Linked DNA regions of Drosophila melanogaster. The gene in region 1 interacts genetically with each later gene. Each region holds a gene or a part of one and is shown in the gene's direction. Other genes may lie near its edges.

Region 1 (3,758 bases):
ATCCTCCACCACAACTATATAATTATTGAAAGTTGATGAAAGCTGTTGGGCCGTTTAAGTTTCAGAGTTTCTGTTCTATATGTGGTTAAAATTGTTAATGTTGTTACACCGCAAATGCATACTTAGTTAGTTAGTCGAGTGAAATGGGAGTTCCCCCAAATCACATTTAATTGCAATAGTCTCGAGTATTGAACGCCAAGAACACCAATTCCATAGAATGATTGTATACACTCAGAAAATCAATCGGCATTTATGTTCGAAAATCGCCGCAAATATTTTCAACAAGTATGGGTTTTTACGGATTTAAAATAATGAAATTGAAAACTAAATTCCATATTGTTAGGCTATAAACAAATGTTTCTATTGATGGACAACATTTCAGGTATAATTTTTGAAAAACAACAAATATTTATTTCAATTGTTAATACCAAAATACGCATAGGTCAACAATTAAGTTTTAATTTTTTTTTTTTAATATAGTTTAATTATCAAAGAACTATACATTTTAAGCCATTAAACGTAGGCAATATTCAGATAATTTTCTGAAATAAATTAATTGTAAATTTTGGATTCTCTTAGGGCGATTTGCATTCCGAGTGTATCAAGAGCCATGGTAAATAATAAAGCTAAGAAGTATTAATAATTCTACACTATGTATGACTAACAATACATTTGCTTAGTTCCCTCGATAAAGAAAGTACATAACTATTGCATGAGGCATAGGCAAAACTTCCTGGCACATAGTAAAAGTAAATAATTGAATAGAACGGCTGAGGAGGAGATGAGTAGATTTTGATAATATGTACGTCAAGACCATGCCAACATACTTATGGGAACTATTTAAAAAGCATTAAAACGTTCAATATAACACATAATACCCAGACAAAAGCAGAATCAAAAAATGCGGGAACGAGACGGCTGCATGGTATATACATACATATATAAGACATTTCGCCTCTTAAAGCAATTATAAAGATAACAAATGAGTAACGTTTATTATATTATTAAATTATACATACATATACATACTATATAAACGGAATAAAATAAATCAGCAACAAACTTTCCATTTTATGGCGTTCGATCACTTAACTTTTTATCCTTGGGAGCAGTATTGTCAAGTTATCATTTTTCTTCTTAATTGCTTAAATTACAATTCTTTAAATACATGCATGTATTCAATGATGGCGCCAAATTTTGAACCTGTTTTAAGTCTTAATTCAAGAATATTTTTCCAAGTATGAGAGTGAACGAGAGGCAAGAGCGCAAACGAAAAATACCAGAAATCAATGTGAGTATTTTGAAATTTCAGCAATTGCCGAATTGGTTTTTCAAATAGATGTGATTAGTTGTTAAATTGCCAAATCTTTAATCCAATAATTTAATTAATAAAGTCTTAATTGAATTGAAATTGTTTTGTGTAAATCCTGTGCAAGTAACATATATTACTAATAAACTTGTATTTTTTAATCTTTTTTAAATTGTTAAAAGTGGCACACAGACTAGTAAACTTAATTAACAAATTTGTAAAATAATAAAAAAATATAATTGGATCTAGTATCTAAACGGTTCTGGTATTTATTTTCGGTGTTTTGTACGCTTCAGTCCAACGCCGATAGTATCGAATATGCATCTATTTTTATTCAACTCTGGGGAGTAACGAGGGAGTTTTTGTACAGCAGTATAACTAAATTATAAGTATAAATAGTCGATAGCGGCAAACTGTTTCGGCCTAAATTTAATTGCGAGTCTAAATTAAGAGTTCAATTCCCAATAACCGCCAAACGAAGCGGCGATAAACGTAAGCGATAGAGTGGCGAAGAGAGCAAGGTTCCCGCCCGCGTGTTGTGAGAGTGTGCGAGTGGAAGAGGAAAGTGTATGATTAAGTACAATCGCTCTCCGGCGGTCCAAATACAAAAAAAGCCGAAAAGGAATCAATTAACAGTAGTGCTCAACAAACGGCCCAGGAAGTCAACAGGAAAGGCGATTGATGTGCAATATTTTGTTTGGTTTTATCGAGCAGAGGCGCTGCGAGCTGTGATTTCAAACCGAATCACAACCAACACCCAAAAAGGCAACCTGGTCGCGTCATCAGTGGAAGTGGAAAGGCAGTTGCCACAGCAGAGGCAGAAGCAACGGGAGTAGCAGAAGCAGTGGTTTTCCAGAGATCCGGTTTTGAGTCCTTCAAGCATGGACAGCAAGGGTCGAAATGTTATCGTCTGTGATAACGGCACTGGGGTAAGATAACGGGAAAGTCACCACCCGCACCGCCCACATCACCCACAAGCGGTGAAAACAGAGCGCACACACCCACACCATCACCAACGACTGGTGTGTGACACACATTTCGAGTGTTGTTGGCTGCGCTTCTTTCGTTTTCTTCTTCTTGTGGACTAAGCAGCGCTTCTGCTGCTGCTGCTTATTTCACTGCTTGCTGGCCAGCGGGCGTTGACGTCGCGGTTAGTCAAGCAGTTGCAGCAGTTGCAATTACGCGATTGCCTCTTCCTCTCCTTTATATTCCGCTTCCCCACTCTTCTTCTTGCTCTCCGCTTGACTAATCAGTGGATTACTCACGATTCCAGCGTTACTCAGTATCTCCCACACCTACATATTTGTCGAAAGAGCGACACTGGCACACACCAACACTTCCATAAAATTTCCGACAATCAGTTCTTATCGCAGGCCCAGAATTTTTGTATTGTGATAACGGTCCGATTTCGATAAGCGTCCGATAAACCACAACAGTAAAAGCGCAAGCAAATGCTGCACCGAGAAAAATGATTTAGCTGGTCCTAAACCAAATAATCAAAACTAATTCAAAAATTTTTGTTTTGTGATAACGGTCCGAATTCGATAAGTCACAGCAGTAAAAACGCAAGGAAATGCTGCACCGGGAAAAATGATATAGCTGGTCTTAAACAAAATGATTAAAAATAATTATTTATTATTATTATGTGCAATTTTTAAGTACCTGTTGATACAAAAGCATTTTAAATTATCATATTACGTGTTAGGGCTTAACTCAAATAATAATATATGTACATATGTCGGCTGTCATATTATTTTAATGTGTTTCCACATACACCATAATATAAATATATGTATTTATGACATCTCCATTTATTTTTCAGTTCGTTAAGTGCGGATATGCCGGCAGCAATTTCCCCACCCACATTTTTCCCTCGATGGTGGGACGACCCATGATTCGGGCGGTCAACAAAATCGGCGATATCGAAGTCAAGGTATGATCCATCGTACTTACCAATTAAAGTATCTAAAATTAATTAACAATATGATGAGATAGTACAACCATATACACTACACAAATTCAATTGTGCACAGGCCATCAAATACACGAATATCCATATATTATATCATTTTTTTTTTCGATGTAACTACTCCATGACTAGTTAAACGGCAAGAAATACATTTAGCGCATAGAAGTTCACTATCCACCAAATTACCCACCATATTTTTTCACCCCTAACCCATCTGATTTTGGAGTGGAATTGCTCTATTTTCTATTCTGTCTATTAGTGTCGCATATCTACTTACTTCTATATAATTTGTTTTCGATCTACCCCATTCGCATATCGTTTCATTTACCATCTTGATTTCATCACTTCTGGGGGTCACTTATCCCAATATTGCATTTTTGCTTGAGTTGCATTGGTCTCGGTGTGTGGGCCCTCATATTATTATACACATGCATACAAAATATATAAATATATATTATGGTAAATATATCATGCTAAAAG
Region 2 (3,758 bases), on another chromosome or scaffold:
AATCTGAATTCAAAGATTAAATGTAATATGGCAAAATGTGATAACAAACAGCACCTCTGATTGGTAGCATACGAAGTATGTGAATAATAATCAGATTACATTTGGGAATTCATTAACTAGGCATGAAATCGTTTGCAAAACGTTTTGTTACATTTTGTTTCTTTATATAATGTGACTTTGATAGTCTAGAATATAATGATGTTTTTATGTAAGCAAAAATCTTGACATCTATTAAGACTTATCAGTTTAGCAGACTTGTAGAGTTTTCCAAGTTCATTCACATTAAATCCATTCAGAAATTATTTTAAATTTGTAAAGAGCTACTACTAATTTGAATCACTGCTTTACATTCCCATGAATGTTTTAGACGCAAGATGTTCATATTACTGGGCATTTCTTTCTGTGTCTGACACATTGTTGAAATACTTTCCGAGTCTTCTTGGCTCAAAGGTGAAAGCCATAAAAGAGCTGTGTATAACCCCCACCCCCACTGCCCCGTTTGGGTTGAGTACATCAGGGCATGTTGTTGGCCAAGTTGAAATCATAAAAATTGTCGACTCTTTTTAAACGGAATTGGTTAATGGCTCCAGTTGGTGTTTTTTTGTTGGTCTGTAAGTCTGGGTCGGATCGGTTTGTTCACTTACCGCTGGGATTGTTTTGCACCATGGTCGCCGCTCTAGAGAGTACATCCAGCGCCGTTTCCATGATGATCTCAACGCTTCTACGTGGGATTGGACGTGGATTTGGAGTTGGACTTGGACTTGGTTTCGCTGCTCCTGCACCGACTCGATCTGCACCGCATGAGTTTCACACTGAAAATGCAAAGAAATTGACCATGAACAGCCGCACCACACACACTTAAGCCGCACACACATCTCTCTCGTATGTGTGCCTTACAATATATACACCGAGATATCCAAGTGAAAAACTGGATATATCGCCCGAGCCTGGCATTGGCATATATGTAAATGGAACAAAACCAAAACCAAAGCCAAAACCAAACCAAAGCGAACAAAGACTGACTGCCTGACTGGCTGACTTGAAACAAGTAAGACGAAGGCGAAATCCTGCTGCCAAACAGTTGCCATCTGATCGGAAAGCTGTGGAAGTGGATGCTGATGAGGGGACATGCACGGTGGCGGGGCGGTGAGGGGCCACGATGCACTTGGGACTGGTTTTTTTCGGAGGCCCCAAGACCAAGAGTTCGGGGGCTGCTCCGTTGAATATTTCGGCAATGACCAAAGTACAGCAGCCAGAGCCATATTGTTGCTAGCCAGTCAGCCAACCATACAGCCAGCCAGCATCCGACGTCTAGTTTCCACATTAATATACGTAAATATCAGGCCACAACAGTGGAGCCACTTTACCTTTCGCCAGGTGTGCGCCTTCAAATCCTCGCTGGAATCCTGCTCCTCAGCTGTACGGCGATTTATCCTCGCTAATTTTCACCGACTTTTCACGATTTGCGCTGGGAAAAGCGGGGGTTCGATGATTTTTGGTATAATTGCAATAATAGTTCAGTTCGCGTTAGAGCTGGAAGATACGTCGATGTAACATCGATGGCCAAAGTCATCAGTCTGTATTCACATCGATATTTGCTCAGCCTTACCAACACTAATATTGTTCAGCGGTGACTTAAGCCCACATATAACATTAGCGTTGACTCGAACCATTTTTAGAAAACTTAATGTACAAACAATGTAAACATACCTAACAACCTAAAACATATTATTTGTCAATAGTATTTGCAAAGTATATTATAAGCAAATATAAAGGTTATGATATGAATAAACACCATATACCAGTTTTTTCCATTGGATAGAGATACAAAAAAGTTGAATAAAATATAAAAACGAAAAATGTTCGTATGTGTGATTATTAAAAAAGAAGATAATGCTTATATATATAGTTGAAACTTTACGACTAACACCTATAAGAAAAACGATAAAGTAAATCAAAGCCTATTAGACGAGGTACACGTTACTAGATACGTTCTAAAACCTCTGTTATTTAATTTCAATTTTACAAGTAAAAACCATCGATAGCGGCACAGTGGCAACATTGAAAGTATCGATTAGACATCGCCTGTTGTCCCAGCTCTAGTTTGTTGTTGCAAAAAAAGTGTGTGGGTCGCCGCCAGCGATCGAATATTTTAAAATTCCAATCAAATTGGTTAATTGGGGAGTTGCAATTGCTTGAGCGTTAAGTTAAACCTATTTCTGCACGCATAACTCGAAGGATTAAGGTGGAAAAGTGGAATTTGGAAAGCCGCTGGAAATTCGCACATACTGGAAAATCAATCACCCACTATCCCATTGTTCTGCTTGTGTTTGTGTACGTCTGTGTGCCTTTGTGAGGCGGCTGCACTTAATTAAAATTTAAGACAAGACAACCCAAGCAAATTTGGAGTCTTCGCGAGGCGTTGGCTTTCACTTGACGAAGAGGGCACCCCGATAAGGCGACCCAGTGAAAGCTGGCCAAGATCTCGCTGCTCAAGGTCGTTGTCAGTCTGGAATTATGGCCGTCAGCTTCGAGAAGAATCGGGCGCAAATAGTGGCCGCCTGGAAGGATGTGCTGGACGATAAGAGCGACACGAACTGGTCCCTCTTTGGCTACGAGGGTCAGACCAACGAGCTGAAGGTGGTGGCCACCGGCGATGGCGGCGTGGATGAGCTAAACGAAGACCTAAATAGCGGCAAGATTATGTACGCCTTCGTCCGAATCGAAGACCCCAAAACGGGCCTCAACAAGTACTTGCTCATCAACTGGCAGGTGAGTCCGACGGCGCCCTTATCTAATCGAGCTACGCATAATCTGACTGTGCTCCCATTCAGGGCGAGGGCGCACCTGTTCTACGCAAGGGTACCTGCGCCAACCACATACGTGATGTGAGTAATTTGCTGTCCGGCGCTCACCTTACCATCAATGCCCGGAACGAGGACGATATTGACTTGGATCGGCTTCTCAAGAAGCTGAGCACCGTGAGCTCAGCCTACAGCTTTAAGGAACCTCGAGGCGCCATGGAGGAGCAGAAGGCGCCGGTGGGAACCAACTATACTCGGGTCATTCCCACCAAGGAGTTAAACGCCAGCGTTATGCAGGACTTCTGGAAAAAGGAGGAGGCCGAGGAGAAATTGCGACAGGAGGCAGAGAAGGAATCCAAGCGGCTTGAGCTTCAAAAGTTGGAGCAGGAGCAACGTAGTCGCGAGGAGAAGGAGCACAAGGAGCGGGAGAAGTTGGTCATAAGCACCACCAAGCTCCAGCCGGCCCACGTACCCATCAAAACGTAAACAAAAACATCGGAATTTGACCTTCTCGGTAGTAAAAATTCTTTTTTTATCAAACAGGTCACCGCAACCTTTGAGCCCTGAGAAAACTGCACCAGGATTTGCCAACAATCTGACCGATGCGGAGCGCATGCGTCAGGCGAGGAACCAGGAGGCCCGCGAATTGATTGGCTCTCGTGTGGGTGCTGCCAAGGCCATGTTTACAAAGCACACGAGCGAGGGACAACTTCAGTCTAAGTGCGTCCTTGCCCCTCTCCTATTTTGTTGTATCAGAAATAAACTGCTCTTTTGATTCATAGACTAAATACGCAACCGCCGGCCAAACCAGCTCGCAACTCGATTGCCCAGCGCATCAACGTTTTCAACCAAAACCAGCCTCAAGATGCACCTGTGCCTTCACCACCACGCGCTGCGTCCCCTGCCAAACCGTTGCCTGTAGAGGCTCCCGAACCAGTAGTCCCCGCTCCAGCT

Evidence for each region. A genetic interaction does not mean that the proteins touch.
Region 2: of Arp2 (region 1) and Abp1, changing one suppresses a phenotype caused by changing the other (phenotypic suppression), as found in Drosophila melanogaster (one study listed by BioGRID).

The regions. Positions count from the first base shown.
Region 1 is NC_004354.4:16,551,824-16,555,581, reverse strand, and holds the start of Arp2 (Actin-related protein 2), read left to right. Parts: upstream 1-1,630; 5' UTR 1,631-2,190; coding exon 2,191-2,238; intron 2,239-3,131; coding exon 3,132-3,242; intron 3,243-3,758. UniProt on the Drosophila melanogaster protein: Functions as ATP-binding component of the Arp2/3 complex which is involved in regulation of actin polymerization and together with an activating nucleation-promoting factor (NPF) mediates the formation of branched actin networks.
Region 2 is NT_037436.4:13,484,617-13,488,374, reverse strand, and holds the start of Abp1 (actin binding protein 1), read left to right. Parts: upstream 1-2,094; 5' UTR 2,095-2,517; coding exon 2,518-2,772; intron 2,773-2,834; coding exon 2,835-3,286; intron 3,287-3,347; coding exon 3,348-3,524; intron 3,525-3,586; coding exon 3,587-3,758.